Linked DNA regions of Notamacropus eugenii. The protein of the gene in region 1 purifies or fractionates together with the protein of each later gene. This does not show direct contact. Links are inferred from orthologs where the notes say so. Each region holds a gene or a part of one and is shown on either strand. Other genes may lie near its edges.

What was found.
Region 2: the proteins of PPP2R2D (region 1) and PPP4C purify together in Homo sapiens (affinity purification with mass spectrometry; 3 studies listed by BioGRID and IntAct, counting the BioPlex papers as one, with this or other methods). This does not show direct contact. The link is inferred for Notamacropus eugenii from reciprocal best matches to the Homo sapiens genes PPP2R2D and PPP4C.

Annotation. Positions count from the first base shown.
Region 1 is NC_092872.1:289,970,839-289,981,302, forward strand, and holds the start of PPP2R2D (serine/threonine-protein phosphatase 2A 55 kDa regulatory subunit B delta isoform), read left to right. Parts: upstream 1-5,898; coding exon 5,899-5,905; intron 5,906-6,075; coding exon 6,076-6,186; intron 6,187-10,464. Other genes in the region: uncharacterized protein, read right to left, coding at 1-94, 5,315-5,900. UniProt on the Homo sapiens protein: Substrate-recognition subunit of protein phosphatase 2A (PP2A) that plays a key role in cell cycle by controlling mitosis entry and exit. Involved in chromosome clustering during late mitosis by mediating dephosphorylation of MKI67.
Region 2 is NC_092872.1:46,809,586-46,819,673, reverse strand, and holds the start of PPP4C (serine/threonine-protein phosphatase 4 catalytic subunit), read left to right. Parts: upstream 1-5,448; 5' UTR 5,449-5,573; intron 5,574-5,847; 5' UTR 5,848-5,953; coding exon 5,954-6,051; intron 6,052-8,465; coding exon 8,466-8,517; intron 8,518-9,587; coding exon 9,588-9,638; intron 9,639-9,978; coding exon 9,979-10,080; intron 10,081-10,088. Other genes in the region: ALDOA (fructose-bisphosphate aldolase A), read left to right, coding at 381-464, 572-746, 908-1,107, 1,343-1,438. UniProt on the Homo sapiens protein: Protein phosphatase that is involved in many processes such as microtubule organization at centrosomes, maturation of spliceosomal snRNPs, apoptosis, DNA repair, tumor necrosis factor (TNF)-alpha signaling, activation of c-Jun N-terminal kinase MAPK8, regulation of histone acetylation, DNA damage checkpoint signaling, NF-kappa-B activation and cell migration.

The DNA.
Region 1 (10,464 bases):
TTCTCCAACAAAGGACTTCTCTCTCTCTTCTTCCATCTTTCCTTCTTCACTAGCATCTTCCTTGCTCCCCATAAACATGCCCAGGTCTTCCATCCTTAAAAACAAAGCAAAATAAACAAAAAACCTGGACCCCACCCTTCTGTCCTGGCATCTACCTTTCTTTTTTCTTTAAATAAATTATTTATCTATCTATCTTTAGTTCTCAACATTCACTTTTATAAGATTTTGAGTTCTAAATTTTCTCCCCCCCAACTCAGCTTCCCACTCCCAAGCATGCAATATAATATTGGCTATACATGTGCAATCATATTAAACATATTTTCACATTGGTCATGTTGTAAAGAAGAATTCGAATAAAAGGGAAAAATCATGAGAAAGAAGAAACAAAACAGAGAAAGAGAGAGAATAGTATGTTTCAATCTGCATTCAGAGTCCATAGGCTCCTGAGGTTCCTGAATATGGGAGTGACAGAATCTGATCTGTAATTAAGAAGTATCACCTAGTTTCAGTTCCCATGTGCTGAATGATCATCTCCATCCAGATGAAGCCCAGGTTTCGTTATCCACCTGAAGCCCTTTCTGACCTCAAGTGTTGCTCCTTCCACCGCTTGCAGAATATTGCCCCTGGAATCACAGACTCACAGAGTCAAAGGATCTGGATCTGAATGAGAATCCATCCCCTCCTCATCTCTACAACATACTCCATATTCTACTTTTGCCTGAAGACCTGGCACATGAGAGAAACCACTACCTCCTGAAGACATCTCTGTAGGAGAGGGTGGCTTCTAAGTTGTCCATCCATTGTTCCAGGATCTGTCCCCAGGAAGAAAACAGAACAAGTCCAATCCTTCTTCCACATGGCAACCCTTCAGTTACTGGGAGGTGGCTCTCATTTGTCTGAAGAGTCTTCTTTCCTCTAAGTTAAACATCCCCAGGTCTTACATTCAAGGTACAACCTTGAGGTGCTTCTGATTGTCCTGAACATCCTCCTCTGGACCCTCTCCAAATAATCAATGTCCTTCCTCAATGCACAGCCTTCCAGATTGGGGACTGTCATCACCTCTGGACCTGCATGCCACATGCTGAGCAGGCATTCAAACTGCCGTGATATTCCTAGTGGCCACAAAGACTGGTGACTCATTTGGATGAACCAGTCCTCCCCCAGCTTGTATTTGTGACCCCAATGTACCAATTCTTCCTACTAAATGCCATCTGATTGAATGTAGCCCAGTATTATAGATCATTTGGGATCCTAATTCTGCAGCATCCAGCTTGTTAGCAATCCATCCCAGCTTTATGTTAAGTCGGGTATATGATAAGCATGCCAACTAATCTATCTCCCCCTCCAAAAACTGTAAACAGCACACACCTCTAGGGTACTCCATTAGAGAGCACCTTCCAAACCATTATCATTAATTACCACTGGTTCCAGCCATTCAACCAATTCTGAATTCACATAAGCATACTTTCATGTAGCCCACATTTCTATATCTCTTCTACAAGAAAAGCATCAACGATGTTATTGAACACTGAAATCTAGGCCAACTGTATCTATAGCATATGTTTAGTAACCTTACCAAAGAAAAGAATGAGGTTAGTCTGGCATGAACAACTTTTGCTGAAGCTTCCATATTATTAAATCTTTGCGGTTACTGCTTCCTTTTCTTGGTGTTCACTAACCATCTCTCTAATGATATGCTTTAGAATTTCAAGAGGCATTGAAGTCTACTCCACCTGCCTCATGATGGTAGTCTGTTTATTCCCCTCTTTAAAAATAAACCAGGTCATTTGTCTTTCTTTAATCCTATGATCTATCTGCCCACCTCATTCTTTCAAAGGATCTTTCAAAGATTGGTGACTTTGGTTCTGCAATCACATCAGCCAGTTTTTTCAGGACTCAAGGACACAAAGTTCATCTAATCCAATCATCCTATCCTCTTCATCATCAAGGACATTCTTAGTCTCTTCCTATCTTAGGTATCCCCTTAATTAATACTGCCCTTGTCTACCACACCTCTCCACTTGGCAAGGGAATCTTCATACTTACAGGAAATGGTGATGTCTGTATTTATGTCTATTCTTTTATCCATTTCGCACTTTTCAACAATGGCTGGTTAAATAGGTCAGCATGGATCTGACAACCTCTCAGGTGCCCTCTAGTATCTGATGACCCTATGTACTACTTAGCCATGCTTTTCTTCTGTCTTTTGCCATCTAAACATTATTATCCCTTCAATTAAAACAGAAGAAAAAACACAATTGAAGCAGTTCTGCCTCCTTCAGTCTTAAGTTTTCAGTCTTCTCCTGAAGACTCTGGAGAGTAGGCCAATCTTGGCATCCTCCTCTTCCCTTCATGAAGCCAAAAAATGCCTTGGACTTCCTGAGCTTTCCTGGATGGTCTCAGCTTTGCCTGAGCCTTCACACTTGCCCATATCCTGACTGTGCTCTTCTGTGACCTTGTATTCACTCAGCTCAGTGCTCTTGATTCCAAGTTCTAAATATTCCTTCTTTCAGAATTTCAATTGCTTGTTGTATTCTCTGAGCACCCACATTCATCTTCTTTAGAAAACTTTCTTTTTTATCCTCACAGGAATTGCTCTTTGGAAGTGGAGAACTTCTCATCCCTTCTGAGCCTCTACTAGGCTTCTATCTTTTTGGGAACCCTTTGAAGTCTGCCCTTCTGAAACACAAAGTGCACGTCAGCCCCTGCCTGGCTTTCCTCTCCCCTTCCATAAACTCTAATGTGAAGTGGTTACTTCTTTCCAAAGTTACTCATCATTTCTACCTCAGCAACTTAGAAGCCTTCCTTGTGCATAAGAATCAAATCTGGAATAGAATTTCCCCTCATTGGTATTCCACTGTTTGAACCTTGTCCCAGGCATCTCAAACTCCAAATGTCCAAAATAGAATTATTTCCCATTACACCCTGACAAACTTCCAGCTTTCCTTTGTCTGTTGAGGTCACTCCTCTGCTTACAATCATTCAGGATCATAACTACAGAGTCATCCTGGTCTCTTCCCTCTCCTACCCCCACTTCCCATCTATTAGCAGGCTTTTTAAATTCCATCTCCACAGCATGACTCACATCTCTTCTTTTCTAAGGGACAGATCTGTCCTTTTCTAAGGTAGCTGGTAGGACAGTGGGCAGAGATATGGGCCTGGAGTCAGGAAGACTTAAGCTCAAGTGTGGCCTCAGACATTTATTGACTGGGTAATCCTGGGCAAGTCACAACCTCTGTTTGCCTCAGTTTTCTCAACTCTAAAATAAGGATAACCATAGCATCTACCTCACAGGGCAGTTGTGAGGATCAGATGAGATCATATTTGTAAGAGCACTTAGCATGGCAACTAATACACAGTAGGCATTTAATACGTATTTATTAATTATTGAATGTTTGCTATAAATGTTTACTCCCCTCTTCCATTTCTCTCTATCCACACAGTCAGCAGTCTTGTTCCAACCCTTACCAATTCAAGGCTGGACCTTTGAAAGGGTCTCCTGATTGGTATCCCTGCTCCTAGGATCTCCCCTCACTGATCCATCCTTCACACAACTGGAAAAGTCCTATTTCTAGGATATCTCCCTGACTTGGTCATTCTTCTGTTGTACAAAATCTTTGAGTGACTTCCCACTATCTCTAGAACAATACAGACACACTCTTCAGCCTGTTCTTCTGAGTCCCTTTTCAAACTAACTCCATCTTATTCCCTTTCATGCCCTTTTATGTTCATTCTTTGTTTTCAAAGAAGACCATGACACCAGAGAAATGATTACATGACTTGCCCTTGACTTTGTTTTGAGTGAGGGAGAGCTGTGCAAGGTCACCAACCTCACTTTTTCCTCCTGAGTCATCTGGGTCCAGTGACCAGATATTCATCAGGATGACTGGAGATGGGCCAGGATGCAGTGGGAGACCTTGGCCTTCTTAGGCTGGCCTTTTCAGGTACTCATTTAGAGGGAAGTAACACCCACTGAGTAACTAGGCCTCTTTAAGAAGTAGTCAGGGAATGGTCCTTTTAATGAAAAAAAGAAAAACAAAGAAAAAAGAAATGAATGACCAAATGAATAGGACTACTTGTAGAATTTCCTGAATGTAGGACCTGAATGTGGACCCAATGCCACACCTTTGGACACACTCTCTAGTCTCCCTCAAGATCTGTGAGAATCCTTGGCTTCCTGAGGAATCAGATCAGCCATTGGCTTCCTCATACTACCTTTTTATATCTCTCAGGCCTCAAATGATATTGTATGCACTCATCTGTGTTCATTTGGTATCAATCCATCCATAAACATTTATTTAAAGAAAAGGCTGGATGGCTGACCACTCATAGGGTGAGCTGGAGTGGGGATTCAGGCTGTGTTCAGGTGCAGGTGGGACCAGATGACCTTGGGGGCCCTTCTAAGTAAGAGATGTGCCTGTGTCTTACACAGACAACATGGATGAACAAGGGTTTCAAACTGTGGGCTACTGTGGAGCCAGCTTTAGACACTTCCTAGCTGCGTGACTCTGGGCAAGTCACTTTACCCTATTTGCCTGTTTCCTCATCTGTAAAATGAACTGGAAAAGGAAATGGCAAAGCACTGTAGGACTTTTGCCAAAAAGACTCCCACGTGACTGAAAAGACTGAACAACCAGAACAAAAGTACTTTCAACAATAACTACCCTGACATTCATGTGGGCGCTTTCAAGTTTTCAATGGCCTCACATACACGATGACTAGAGGTGACCTTGCAGCCGAGAAGGGCTCTGAGTTCAAGTCCTGCCTTTAATAAAAAGAGTTGACCTCGGACAAATCACCTACTCTTTGTGTTCTTGGCAAGTTATTGATCAGCATCCGGAGGAGAGTTTCTGTAGGGAAGTTACCCATAGGGATAAATTATGAATGATGAACTTACAGCCTGGGGATTCTGGGATTCCCCCATATTCAAAGGGAGACTCCTTGTCTCCTACGTTCCTCCAGGGCCCCGGAGTGAGTGCCCAGTGGGAGACCCTCAGCCCAGGGGGGTGAGGGGAAGGGAGGGCACAGAAGGAGGACCCTGCTGCAGCCCTCACCTGCCCCCTCTGAGGCTCAGTTTCCTCACCTGTGAAATGGATTTGGGGACCTCCAAGACCCTTTGCATCTCTTTGCCTGCAAAGGGGCTCTCTCCTCCCCTGCCTCTGCCTCCCCCTTTCTTCTCCTCTCCCCTTCCCTCCTTCCCCTTGCCTTTCTCAAACACCCCTCCCCCACTCCGCCTCTGCCTCCCCCTTTCTCCCCCCCTCCCCTTCCCTCCACCTCTCCGCCCCTCCCTTCGCCGAGGCTCCTCCCTCTTTACCAGGCAGGAGGAGCACCGGGCGGGAAAGGTAGCGGGACTCGGGAAGGGTTCTGGGAAGGAGGCCGTAACTTGAGGTGAGGGGAGCGCGACCCCCAACGGAGGATAGGGCCTGGAGAGGAGCCGGGGCGGGGCCTCGGAGGCGGAGGTGTAGGGGAGCGGAGCCTTCTGAGCAGGTGTCGGGGCGTGGCCTTTGGGGGGCGTTGCCTCGGGGGCCGCTGGGGAAGTGAGGGGCGGAGCCTCGGGAGGATGGCTCGGGGCGGGGCCACGGGGCAGCGTATAGGGAGAAGCCTCGGGGCCGGCGTCGGGGCGTGGCCTCTGAGTAGCGTATGGAGCGCAGCCTTAGGAGGAGCGCTCGGGGGCGGGGCCGACCGGGGGCGTGGCCTCGAGCGGAGGGCGGTGACGCCATCGGTCCGGGCGCCGGCTCGGGGCGCCATTTTGCGGGGGGAGGCGGCGCTCGGTCCGCGGCGGCAGAGGCGCGGGCGGAGCTGCAGGAGCCCAGCCGGGGCCCCGCCGCCGCCGCCCACCCCGGCCCGGCCCGGCCCCGGCCCCGACCCGCCGCGCACTCCGGGCCTGGCTTGGCAGCCATGGCAGGTGAGGCGCCGTCCGCCCCCCCCTCCCCTCCCTCCCCTCCCTCCCCCAGCTCTGCCCCGCGTCCCCCTTCCCCGCTCCCCGGGTCTCCCCCCGCCGTCCCTGCCCGTGACCTCCGCGTGACCCCGTCCCCCCTCCCCGACTGCGCTGACCGGCCCGTGCGCTCGTTGCAGGAGCCGGCGTGGGCGGCGGCCCGGGCGGCGGCCCGGCTGCGATGGGCGGCAGCGACCTGCAGTGGTGCTTCTGGCAGGTGAAGGGCGCCATCGACGAGGACGTGGCCGAAGGTAAGGGCGCTCCCCCTTCCCCCCCGCGCCCCTCCCCGGGCTGGCCACTCGGACCCTTGACGCTCCCCCGGGGCTGGCCGCTCGGACCCTGCCCCGGGCTCGGGCTGAGGGCTCCCCTGCCCCCCTCCCCGCTCTGGTTCTCGGGCCCTGCAGACCCCCATTCCCCCGGCTCCGCCTTCACTTTTAAGGAAGGGGGGCGCTGTGAGTTGTTGTGTTCATCGTATCGGTCGCTAAGCGTCGTGAAGCGCTCCCCGTCTGCCGAATTCCCTTCCGATGGGAGCCCCAGGGTGCGTGTCCGGGGGTTGGGGGTCCCCAGGGGACACCCCGTGTGGGGGCCAGAACGGACCCGCCGGGATCCGTTGAGGTCACTGAGGGGGCTGACCCAGGCCCAGAGCTCGCAGAGGTCAGCATTCGGGTGAGAGCTATCTCAGTTGGAAGCCGAGAGGAACAGGTGAGAGGACTAGGACCGTGAGGCCAGGTGGAAGAAGAGCAGACTAGGCCGATGGACAGCAGGGAGCAGAGGATTAAATGGGGGTGGTTGTTTTTGGGGAGCAAGGGAGGAGACCGTCGGTGCGAGGAACGGGGACAGGGGGCAGTCTGCTGGAGAAAACAGGACCGAGGTTGTGTGGATGGCAAAGAGAGGGGCCTTCGAGAGTTTGGAGAGGAGGAGATAAATGGAGGCAGGGCCTGGAGGAGGGAAGAAGGGGGAGGCAAAGTCAGGGAGGATGGAAGAAGGAGCTGCAGGAACAGCCACCGGGGAGACTGTAACTTCATTTGTAGTAGACTGAGTCAGCTGGGTTTCCAGACTTTCATTGGCTCTGTCCACGTGTGCAGAGGGTCTGAGTCATTCAGGTTTGGCAGGGCATGAGGGAAGAAGCCATGGGAAATAGGAGTGGAGAGTTGAAGGGGTTGCCCTGGGAGTCTAGATTAGGAGTAAAGGAGGCAGAGAGCATATGGTCTGGGTAAAAAAATTGTATTTAGTAAAGATCACAGTAAGCATTCTTTAAAAGCATTGGGTAATGGGCATCTGGATGACCACAAACAGAATGGTGTCTAGTATTTTCAACACACTCAGTGGAAAAGACAAAAGATTCTTTTTTGTTTTCCTCTCATCTATCAGCAGTGCTCCACAAAGATACTTGGTGAAGAGACAGTGGGAATTCCTTTGGGTGCCCCCATCATCCACTGCTGTAGCATGGACTTGGCTCCATTTGAAAGCAGAGAAGGGAGGGAGCATCCAGGTTCATAGAAGGCACATCTGACTTCCAGGGCCATGGCCCATGAAATCCCTGCATCTTTTTTGAGACCTGGCCCTTGCCTCTTGGTGACCCTAACCTGGGACAAGACTCCATATCTGGCACTGTGTCCCATGGCACGCTACCTTTTTTTTACCTCTCTCTCTCTGTTCCCTCCCCCTTCTTAAGATTTGGCTCCTACATAGGGATTCTCATTGAGCCCCATGGGATGCTAGGTATGCAGCCAGAGACGAGAACTTGCTCCATCCTTTCTGCTGTTCCTATTTCCTCCCCATCTGCCCCCTAGGAAAGTGTGCCCCAGTCAGAGGAACCACCCAGGATAAGGGAGATCCATGGTCTCCAATATACATTGAACGTTGGTTCAGTTTTTGTCGCTGATTTCATTGTCTCACAAAAACTTGCCAGTAAAATGACATTTATTTGGACAAAGAGCTGCCTACCCTGACAGGAGGAAGGTTGGCACCAGCCCCAAAGCTCCCTTGGTCATCATCACAGTTTCAGGCTGATAGAGAATGTGTTTCTTGTGGAAAGAGGAGAAACCTTTGTTATATAATGTGGCCTTCCAAGGTCATTGAGGTACATGTGTGTTCTGGTGCCAGGTAGGCCCGTGGAGCCTCCAAGTGTGCTTGGTTTCTGAACTTACGTGATTCACTTGGGGATGAAAAGATATTTTTCTAGAGGTTTTAAATCCACGTAAAGAGAATGTCTTCACTTTTAAGGTACTTCTCAAAATGACATCTACTAATAATAATTGGGAAATTCCTCTTTATCAATCTAAGTTTGATTAAGGAAGCACCTTCATCTCAGCTCAGTATTCACAGTAATTGAGCAGTCAGTGGGAAGAGAAAGTCCTGAACATTCATTCACACAAATATAGACACCAGAAAGTGAAGTTGAGCTGGAAAGGGCCATTGAAGGTGAATCTTACTTGTCCTACTTGGGCCTTGTAACCTCCACATCAAGTTGGGCTTCTAAATTGACTGGCTTTGGGGAAATGATATTCCCTTAGTTTTGCATCTATGTAAGTGGATTATTTTGTCTCATGATATGTGGAATTTTGAATCTTTTCCCTCATTTTGCCATCTGCATTTAGTGAGCTTCCTTAGGAAAACTTTAGTTTCAAGGCTATAAGGCATTAAACTCTCCTATGAGTTCCATCTTTAGACCCAATTTGGATGAAAGTCATAGCAAGTACCACTAGCCAAGAGGGCCTGCACATTTGTAGCATGTTTTCAGTAATTCCCTCTTGAGCCAAACTGCCTCATTTCCCAGGTGGTGATTTTAGGACATAGAGAGGAACTTTGAAAAAGGAGTGGGAGTAGATAGGAAGTCAGTACCTCTTGGCAGAGAACTTAGGAACTGCCATTGCTGGTCCATTGCAGGGGCCTAGAAGCATTTACAAGTTCATTGAATGCAGAATTGTCTAAAAAGAAAAACAGCTTCTTGGTATTTTTCAACTAATGACAGTTTGGCATTTCATAACAAAACCTTAACTTTATTCATTTTGTGTGGACATGGAAGAGGTTCTTATTCTTTGAAAGGTTTCCATTTTGATTCCTATCTTTAACTTGAATTTTACAATGTAGTTGTCAGAAGCATATGATACAAACCATCATTGGGGAAATCTGGCCTGCTGGCAGACTGTCTAGTAAATCCTTCTATCTAGCAGGTCCATGTCTTTTGAATTCAGAAGGAAACTTCTCTTAGTGAGAATCAGTTTCAGGATACTGTTTGTGCCTCATCATTACTAATAATTGGATTAATTTGTTAACATATTTTGAACATAGAGTATTTGAGGCTAGGTACTACACCTCAAGTAAAGAATCGCCTCCCAATGCAGTGCATAGGCTTAAAAGATGAGGGCATGGAGAAGGTTCTTTGCCCTGCCAGGATGTGGCAGAGACAGCTGGAAGAGAGGTTGGCTTGTTGTTGTTCAGGGGAGACATTGGTTTCTTCTGTGTGAGGCTTGTTTTTCTTCACTCAGAAATCTGTAGAGGGGCTGTCCTTGGGTACTTCTTAGGCAACTAAATATTCATTTTATTTAACTATGTGTTCGTTGTTGATCTGTTGTTTCAGTTGTGTCCTGCTCCTGTGACTCCTCATGGGGTAAAGATGGTGGAGGGGTTTGCCATTTTCTTCTCCAGTTCATTTTATAGGTGAGCAAACTGAGGCAAACAGATGGAAGTGACTTGCCCAGGGTCACACAGCTAATAAGTGGCTGAGAGCAGATTTGAGCTCAGGAAGATGAGTCTTCCTCATTCCAAATGGCCCAGGGCTCTAACCATTGTGCCACTTAATTACTTAGTTGTATAATATAGGTTGCTGTCTTCAGAAGAGGTGCTGAGCTGTATTGGTAGAGGGAATTTCCCAGACCTAGGAAAAGGCAGGTCCACAATCTCTCCTTTTGCTGAGTACATCAGTGACAGCTGCTCGTGGAGTGGGTACCTTGATACACTGTGTGGCTTCGTTTCTGTTGGGTTCAGGTTTGGGCTCTCAAGAAGCCTTTTCTGCATCTTCAAAGATTCTAGCAGCAATTTACTATTTCCCCTTTTCCTGCCCTCTTCTTTTCCATTTTTGTACAAACTTTATTTGTCCACACTTGGAAGGCTCCCTGGGAGCAAAGCCCCTCCTCTCTTCCTCTTCCCTTGGGAAGAACCAGGCTCGGTGAAGGTACATAGTAGGTGCCTAACAAATGATTTTGAATAATTGATCTGTGGCCTTCTTTGGAAAGAGTTCTAGGAGGAAGCTAGTGACTGACCTGGGTGTGGGTCACTCCTGGATGCTGCCACCTAGCCCCTCTCTCCTAACCCTCCAGACTGGTCTCTTCCATGGCCCAGAGCACTTTCCTAGTTCTCTTCCCCCCTTCATCATAATTCACATTTCATGGTTATAGTTAAAAATGCTTTCTTCCTGACAAACTTGCACTGACACTTGTTATGCATAGCTCCACTTTACAGGTGGAGAAATGAACAGTTCAGCGTTCTGTCCAGGGCGCTGTAATTGAGAAACATTGTCAGAGTCC
Region 2 (10,088 bases), about 240 Mb from region 1:
GGTATCCTAGGGATTTTCAGTTTGCCTGAGATACAGCAAAACAAAAGAAACTGTAAAGCAGCAGTGTGATAAAGTGAGGGACATGCCAGGTTTGGAGTATTTTAGCTCTGATACTAGCCATATGATCCTGCACCAGTTATTCTGCTTCCTCAGCTGCTGGCCCTGTAAAATGAATAAACGATAATTATCATGAGGGACTGGTTGGAGGCAGATAGCCATCTCTCCCTGAGATCCTAAGTGTTTGGAAATTTGAGGAATTCAAGATTTACACCTGTCATTATGAAGATAAAGTCTATGTCTCTATTTGTTAACAGCCAAGGAGGCCTAGAAGTTAGCCCCAGGTAAGGGAGGCCTTCACAGCCTTGTCCTTTGCTTTATAGAATGGCATTGTCCCCATCGTGGAGCCAGAGATCCTCCCTGATGGAGATCATGATCTGAAGCGTTGTCAGTATGTCACTGAGAAGGTAAGAGATGTGAGGAATCACTGGAGAGTGACTGGGAAGGAAGTAGTAGATCAGGAGCTAGTGCTAGTGATTTCCTACTTAACTTTGTTGTTTTGCCATTTTTCTAGGTCCTGGCTGCTGTCTACAAAGCTCTGAGTGACCACCATATCTATCTGGAAGGGACCTTGCTGAAGCCTAACATGGTCACCCCTGGCCATGCCTGTACCCAGAAATATTCACATGAGGAGATTGCAATGGCAACTGTAACTGCCCTTCGCCGGACTGTACCTCCTGCGGTCACTGGTGAGAGAAATCGATTTCTCCCTCAGTATTTATTACCCATGGTTTCTTTCACCTTGGGTCACATGCGTTCTCTTCATTTTTTTTTTTTAAGGAATGCTTGTTACCAGCACTTTTTTATATACTATTTGATATTTCTTTCATCTCTTTTCTGCTTTCCATAGGTATCACCTTCCTCTCTGGGGGTCAGAGTGAAGAGGATGCCTCCATCAATCTCAATGCCATCAATACTTGCCCCTTGCACAAGCCATGGGCCCTGACCTTCTCTTATGGCCGAGCCTTGCAGGCATCTGCTCTCAAGACCTGGGGTGGAAAAAAGGAAAATGTCAAGGCTGCCCAAGAGGAATATATTAAGCGGGCCACGGTGAGAAGGGACAAGGGAAAGAACCAGGATCAGGGACCTTGACAGGCAGGATTCTGGGAACATAAATTAACAAGGGGTCAGGATTGGGGAAAGGAGAAAAGAATAAGTAGTCTTCAGTCCCTTCTGGTGATGCAGAGCTTATCTGTGCTTGAGCTGGGTCTGTGGTGTCATTGAGGGTAGGATCCAGAACTACCAGCCTTTCTCATACTTCCTTCTTTCCCTTTTCCTTCACTAGGCCAACAGCCAAGCTGCTCAAGGCAAGTATACTCCAAGTGGAAAGGCAGGAGCTGCAGCCAGCGAGTCTCTCTTTATCTCTAACCATGCCTACTAACTTAAGTCAAGGCCTTCCAGCTGGGTATGCCCTAACACTCCAGGCCATCCCTCACAGTCCAGGAAGAGGCTGAGATCCCAGAGCTTCGTGCTGACCTGTCCCATCACCCCTCATTTGTGCGGTATTGTTGCTCTCTGGTGAATCTAGCGACCCCTCCTCAGCCCGCTTTTTCCAATAAACAACTATTTAACAAGGAGTCTGGTGCCTGTGATAGGGCAGGGGTGACTTTCCCTTTGGGGTGCTTGGGTCCTTCTGTAGCTTTGTACTGTCTTGTCAGGGCAAGGAAAACCAATCTCTGCCTAGAGCAAAAAAAAAAATCATCTTTATTAACCCCCTGTGAGGAGTATGGGGGGGGGGGGGGAGTGTTGTAAATAGGAAATGGGTTTTCTAGCTTTTAATACAAACTCTAAATTAGCTGTGGATCATTGGAGAAGAGAGTATCATCTTCCCAAGGGTGTGTGTAAATGGACATACTCATTTTGCCAACCAAATCTCCCCTTCCCCAAGAGCAAGATTCCCTATGGAAATATTGATGTGGGTCACAATTGAGAACTATTTGGGAGCTCCAGGACCAATTGTTTACCCGAGAGGTGTTCCTTATCATGCCAGTTTGCTCTTGGCACTGACTTGGGCATAGATGTCAAGATGGGTTCCCAGAAGTACTCAACCTCTACAAAATCAAGATTGTTCCCAATCACTACCCTTAGATATCTCCTATAATATTTGTAGGGTGGGTTTTTTCTTTTCAAAGAACTATGATTGACACTGGTATGTGTCATGAAGAAATCACCAGGGAATTTTGGGACCCTGTCTGCCAAAGCAAATGGGGTTCAGTTTTGTGCATCTTAAGTTAGATGGCAGGTGTCTGCCCCTTTCATTCATCTAGGGTGTCATGGTAGAACTCGTTAATTTTCTTTCCTTGGCATAGATCTTGCTTGGAACCAGTTTCTAGTCTATTTTCCTCACATTGGCAGTGGTACATGGAAATAGGAGAGAGTCAGGCTGCAATCATGTGCTTTTTCTGCCAAAGAATGAAGCAGCAGCTTGATAGGGTAGGGAAAAACAGTGGATTTGTAAGCACAAGGGCTAAGCATTTGGTCCTTCCCATTACTAGCTGTGTAATCTTGGACAATAAGACTGTTAAAGAGCAATAGAAACTTATGTCTGGGACAGACTACTAAGTCAATAGCACCTTTATCCCAATGTAAATTTGTCCCAAATTTAAGTCAATCCCTACAAATTATCCACCTGTGACTGCTTTTTATAATAAATTCAGTCATTCTGCCTAGAAAAGCTCAAACCAAAAGAGAACTTTGGGTTTCCTATTGCCAAATATAAGTCCTTACATATTTGTGAGTAATTAGTACACATTTGGCTATATTTTTATTAGGTTTGACTTGTTTCTCATAGTTACTGAGCATCTTCTATACAATGTAACACACATTTAGGATGTTATTTTAAGCCTCACATTTTAGGATAGGTATTTACAAGTTGAGACCATTCAGAAGAGTAACCAAAATGGTGAGACCAGAAATCAAAAATCTTCAATTTAAAGAAATGTGGATATTTAATTTGGAGGACAGAAAGGTGGAAGAACTAGGGGTTATGGCATGATAGTTCAAAAATAGAGAATTTTTATATAGGAGAAGGATTGTACTATTTTTTATGGCTCTAAAGAGCAGGATTGGGAGTAATGGAAGTTAACAAGGTGCTGATTTTGGAAGTAAACTTAAAACTATAGTTAAAATGGAATGGACTGTCGTTGAGAAGAGTTTCTTCAGCATTTGGAGGATGATCATTTATCCTAGATTCCTATTCAGGCACGAATTGCGCTAGATGACCTGTGAGGCCTATTTCAGCTCATTCAGTGTACAAGATCACCTAGCTCAACTGCGTAAGTTTCAAAGAGGGAGGTGTCTTTGTTAAATTTCAAGGAAAGAGTATAGAATCCAGCTATCCCGATTCCCAAACTGGGATTTCTCTATTTCATTCTTAAAGGATCTACAGTTTAGTGGAGAAGATATATCAAACAAGTAACTAGTGTAGGATACACAAACATAGCGAACAGTTTTGGCCTTGGGAGGCAAGAGATAGGAGATGGACTACGAAGTGTTTTGTGTATCCCATAGGCAAGTCACTTAAAGCTTTCTGAATCTTGGTTTTCTCACCTGTGAAATGGAAATTCATTACTTATACAACCTGTCTCAGTTTCCTATTATGAGGAGAAAAAACATGGCAAAATATTTGGTGCCATTCTAAATGTTAGTTTATTAGTTGGCAAATGCCACAACAAAGGATGCTTATAAGGGCAAGTAGGTGGTGGATAGGTGCTGGACCTGGAATAAGGAAGACTCACGGATCTGAGTTTAAGATTTGGCCTGGACACTTAGGTGTGTGATCCTGGGCAAGTCACTTAACCCTGTTTGCCTCCATTCCTCAGATCTTTGAAACATGAGCTGGAAGGGCAAATGGCAAAAGTTCACTGCAGTATCTTTGCCAAGAAAACACCAAATGGGCTACGACTGAACAACATAAAGGGAAAATGCTATAGGTTTCAGGGAAGCCCACACAAGGTCATCCTGCAGAGATGGGCAAGGTTCTGATAGGTGGAGACAGCTGGAGAGAGGAAGGGAGGCCCTGCAGGACTGCTGATGGGGAATGAGGAGATGGGGAGCTGCTGGAGAGGAAGGGAGGCCCTGCAGGACTGCTGATGGGGAATGAGAGGAAGGAGATGGGGAGCGGCTGGAGAGAGGAAGGGAGGCCCTGCAGGACTGCTGATGGGGAATGAGAGGAAGGAGATGGGGAGCTGCTGGAGAGAGGAAGGGAGGCCCTGCAGGACTGCTGATGGGGGAATGAGGAGATGGGGAGCTGCTGGAGAGAGGAAGGGAGGCCCTGCAGGACTGCTGATGGGGGAATGAGGAGATGGGGAGCTGCTGGAGAGGAAGGGAGGCCCTGCAGGACTGCTGATGGGGGAATGAGAGGAAGGAGATGGGGAGCGGCTGGAGAGAGGAAGGGAGGCCCTGCGGGACTGCTGATGGGGGAATGAGAGGAAGGAGATGGGGAGCGGCTGGAGAGAGGAAGGGAGGCCCTGCAGGACTGCTGATGGGGGAATGAGAGGAAGGAGATGGGGAGCTGCTGGAGAGAGGAAGGGAGGCCCTGCGGGACTGCTGATGGGGGAATGAGAGGAAGGAGATGGGGAGCGGCTGGAGAGAGGAAGGGAGGCCCTGCAGGACTGCTGATGGGGGAATGAGAGGAAGGAGATGGGGAGCGGCTGGAGAGAGGAAGGGAGGCCCTGCAGGACTGCTGATGGGGGAATGAGAGGAAGGAGATGGGGAGCTGCTGGAGAGAGGAAGGGAGGCCCTGCAGGACTGCTGATGGGGAATGAGAGGAAGGAGATGGGGAGCTGCTGGAGAGAGGAAGGGAGGCCCTGCAGGACTGCTGATGGGGGAATGAGAGGAAGGAGATGGGGAGCAGCCCTGAGGGGAAGGCGTGGAAAGCGGTCACAAAGGCCCTGCCCATGGTCTCAGACTAGGGCCCGGAAGACGAAACATCCGTGAAAGGGGCCCGTAGTCCCATTCCGGCCCACAGCCCTAAAATCCCCCATGCGGCCTATTCTCCGAGAAGAGAAGCCGCAGGCCTTGGAGCCCCGGAGTGGAATCCAGGGCCTGCCACTAATTAGCTGTGACCTTGGACAGGTCATTTCCGCTTTCTGAGCCCCACCTTTCTCAAGCGTCTAATACACATAGTCCAGCTGCAATGGTTCCTAAAACTATAATAATACAATCTGCTCTCCCCTATCTTCCGTAGCGCTTTCGGGGAGTGGACTAAGATCGCAGGGATCTGGGCGGGGCCTAGTAATGACTCGCATTGGAAGCCCCTCCTCAGACTCGCGCTTCAGGGATTACTTCCGCTCTCAAGGACAACATCCGGTTCCTTTGCCCGATTTTTTTCTGAAGACGGGAGGGGTGGGGCGTCGAACCTCTGACGCTACTTCCGCTGCGCGACGGAAGTGGACTTCGGCTTCCGCGGCGGGGCCGGAAGCAGCGGCAGCAGTGGCGGCCGGGAGCGGACGGAGGCTCGAAGGTGGAGCCCGGAGCCCGCGGCTCGAGAGTGGAGTCCCGGAGCCGCCGCGTCGGTAATAGCCTCAGGAGTTCTCTCTCTCGCCCGTGGGCCGCCGTCCTGCCCTCCCGGCTGGCCCCTGGGCTCCGCCGTGCTGGGCTTCTCCCCTCCCCAACCTCCCGGGGATCCCGGGCGGCGGCCGGAGCGGGGCACCGGGCCCGGCCTAGGGCCTGCGAGGGGTGGGAGGCGGGGGGACATCTGCGGGGCCCCGAGCTTGGGGAGCCCGGGGGTGGCGCGGGCCACATTGTGTGTCTGACCCGCTGACCCTGTCTCTTCACCCTGGTTTCCAGGAGACACCCCGTGCGGGCGGGCGGAGTAGGGAGGGGCTCGGACCCCCGGGCGCGTCTCCCCCCCCCGCCCCCCGCACCGGGGGGGGCCGCGTGAGGCGGGGGGACCATGGCGGAGATCAGTGACCTGGACCGGCAGATCGAGCAGCTGCGCCGCTGCGAGCTCATCAAGGAGAGCGAGGTCAAGGCCCTGTGCGCCAAGGCCAGGTGAGCCTCCGCGCCTCTCGCGAGGCCGGCGCCAGCCACCGGGCCGAGTCCGAGGGTGTCCATTGTGGGGGTCAAGCTTAATGCCTACGGAGGGCGGCCAGGTTGCCCCTGGCAACTGTGTAATGGTAAAGTCATTAGGGAGACCTTACTGAGGCCTCAGCCCGGCGGGGAATAAATAAAACCGTCCCACCCTTCAGGAAGGGAGCCCCTCATCTCCTGGAATAAGCAGGATGAACAGGAAGCCCTGGCTAGAGCTGGGTTTTGTATTGGGCCGTAAGTTCCTGTAGGAATTCAAAGAGATCAGGGAGGGTGGTCAGTCAGTCAGGGCTTCTTGGAAACAGGTGAGACTCAAGCTGGGCCTTTGCATTAGATGGAAGCTGGTGGACAGGGAAAGCAAAGTAAATGATAGGACAGCAAGGTGGCAGGAGTGACATTTAGTGTGGACTAGGAACAGTAAGAGGGGCTTTTGATTATGGGCGACCTTGAAAGCCACATAGCTTAGGTTCGATGTCTGGATATAGCTGAAGGTTCTTGAGCAAAGGAGTGACATGGTGAAAGCTTTGTTAACCAGTTAGACTCATGTGGACGTAGAGGGGAACATTGGGGTAGAATTTAAATCTTACCCTGAAAAAAAGCTGAGTGTGAGCTATTATGTCCTGACTTGTAGGTTAGGATTAAAGGAGGGACCCACAACCCCTAAGAAATCAGGAATGTTTGGTTAGGTCCAAGGTCTTGCAGTATTCGTTTCCCCATGTTTGCCTTGGTTACCTGTAATAGCCAGATTGGAAGGGACTGCTCTGCTGTCCCCAGTGGACAAACTGCATATAAAGAGATAGGCCTGTGCTGATATCTAGGACCTTACTCTTCCTCAAGATTTTACAGAGCACCATCCCCGCCCCTGGCACCATTCTTTTACTAGTTTGAGATCCAATGGACACTCGTTTTGGCCTTTGGTATAGCACCAGATGAGACACTATTTGACCCCAGGTTTTGGACCTTGACTTTGAGGAAACCTATCCTCTTCCTCTGCCCTGCTTCTCCAAGACCCATACTAACTCTTGAGCTTCTCCATCCTCTTTTCTTCTAGGACCCCTAGAAAAAAAGAGAAATTTTAAAATTCATTTATTCATCTAAGAATTCTGTGAAAAATGCCCTCCCTACTCCCTCTCTCTCCAAAAAACAAAACAAAAAAAGGCAGTTCCTACCACAAAAGAACGTATAATCTAGGGTGAGTGGGTATACATGATATATGGAATATATATATAATATATATGTAATATATATACTCATGATATATGGAATAAAAGACCAAATGTGTACTATACTCTAAGAGGTATAGGCAAAGTACTCTAGGGTTTCAGAGGATGCACAAATGTGAACTGGAGTGATCTGGAAAGATATCCCAGAGAAAATATGGTGTTAGAATTAGGTCTGAAAGGAGTTAGAGAAGGACTTGCATGATCAAAAGTGTATTGGTAGGGAAACAAAAATGACTTTGGGAAATGAGCAGTTCCCCAGTTTGGCTGAAGTTATGTGAAGTAGTACTGGATGAGCTGGGAACAGACGTGGTTTGAAATCAGAAGTCTCATCTCTGTCACAAACTTTGTGACTTTTGGCAAGTCACTTTATCCCTTCTCTGTCCACCTCAGTTTTCCTCCTCTCTGGAATGGAGATTTGGACTTAGATGATCTCTTTGATTCAAGTCGGATATTCTGAGATGGGGTGGCATCTGAGCATAGGAATCCATTTTGAATGGCCAGCTGAAGGAGTTTGGACACTTGCCTGTTAGGATACACAGGTGCCTAGGTGTCCTTACCTTTTCTTCTTATCTCCCTCTTCCTTCAAGATACAGCTCAGGTGCCAACTCATACACAAGATCTTTCCTGATTCTCTCCCCTCCTCCAGTTACCATACTCTCAGTTTTGATTCCTATGTGTTATTTTGCATATCCTTTGTATTTATGTGTTTGCATCTGTGTCGGTCTCTCCCCTGTAGAATGTAAGCTCTTTGAGGGCAAGTACTTTTTTGTTTTTGTCTTTGTATCCTCTTCCCTCTCCCCCACACTTAGTATAGTATCTTGAATGTAGTAGATAATGTAGCTTAATAAATTTGAATTGAATTGAGATTTTTGAACAAGGAGCTAGTGATACCCTGAGAACTATACTCTATGGAAAGATTGTTGTCATGATCTATCATAGAGGAGGGGGCAGAGAGAACAGAGAGTCTCCTGATCCACTTGTGAGTCCTTTCTGGGTGCTGGTACTCTTGTGCTTCTCACAGTGATCCCTGAAGTCTTTCCAGGCCAGCTCTGTAGGCCTCTGGTAAGGCAGGGTCAGACCTGGCCTTGAATAGAGGTAGGGAGTGCTGCTCTGGGGCCTGATCTGGCTGTGACAACCATCTCCTTGTGTCTTCAGAGAGATCTTGGTGGAAGAGAGCAATGTACAGAGAGTGGACTCCCCTGTCACGGTAAGTAAAGCCTTAGCCCTTCCCCCATCCCTAAATCAAGGCTGGTTTATGCACGTATGCCCATCCCATCAGACTTGACCTGGCACATAAACACCCAATAAAGAGTTTAGTCTTTCACAAATATGCACACACATAGCGGGAAAGTGCTGTACTAGGAGTCAGGGGGTGTGGGTTTGAATTTTGACTCTGCTACTTAGTACTTGAGCATGACACTGCACCACTCTAGGTCTCAGTTCCTTCATCTGTAAAATAAGGGAGTTGGGCTAGATCAAGGGTTCTTGCCCTTTTTTGTGACAGGGAGCTCTTTAACAGTCTAGTGAAGCCCTCTGAACTCCTCAGAATCTATATTTTTAAATCTAAATTTTTTAATTTATTGGATTACAAGGGAAATTATTTTACACTGAAATACTTATCAAGATACATTTTTTAAAAAAATCCATGGACCCTCTGGTTAAGAACTCTAGGACTAAATATCTAGTCTCCTATGCTAGATGCCTTCAGGTTCTAATTGTTGTAGTCCTACATATTTCCTTTGGCCTGGTTTTACACTTCCATATACACATACATGCATTTGAAGTCCAGCTTGGTCACTAATCCACATGGAATTAGGTTTCCCTTTCATAGAGGCCTGGCCACAGAATTCTCTAAACTCAGACTCTTGCTTGCTAGAGTCTTACTGTGTCGTTGTTTCACTTCCTTTGCCATCATTAAAGTAACATCACACCAGTTGTTAATGGGAAGGAGTTTGAGATCTAAGGGGACCTTGTGGTTAGGGCAGAAGGACCTGATCTGGACACTGAGCCAGTTTACCTGACTCTGCTACATATGCACTGGGTTAGTTAACTCTGCAGGCAATGCTGGGTTAGGCAAGTGCTCTGCTCCTTTCTTAGCTGCCTGCTGGCTTCTTGTTGGTTTTAAGAAAGGAGGGCTAGGTTGAATTCTAGCTTTGTCACTGCCTGACCTTGGAGCAAGGCTCTGGGTCTCAGATTCTTACCTGTAAAATGTGGAGTTTTGACTAGATGTTCTCTCAGGTTCCTTCCATCTCTGACATTCTGTGATTCTTACCCCAGGTGTGCGGGGACATCCATGGACAATTCTACGATCTCAAGGAGCTGTTTAGAGTGAGTTTGTGTGTGCATGCTGGGATGAAGCTGAGGGATGCTGGGATGAATTCTGAGTCTTGAATTTTGTAGCAAGGAACAGGTTCACAATTGTCTGGAAATCTTCTTTAATTTGGAATAGGAGCTTTTAATCTGACTGAAGATGTGGGGTAAAGGGGAATTTCGACATAGGCCAATCCTGGATTTGGTGCTATGCGTATTTGATAGAGTTATTAGGGACACTTCAAAATGGAATGTGGCTTTAATTTGAACTAGGTAGATGGGACAGACACATTTATGTGGTTTTCAAGAGGGTTTGGGGTAATGAGCTAGCTGGTACAAATGAACCCTCCTCCTCCAGGTGGGTGGTGATGTCCCTGAGACCAACTACCTCTTCATGGGGGACTTTGTGGACAGAGGCTTTTACAGCGTTGAAACATTCCTGCTGCTGCTTGCCCTTAAGGTAACTGC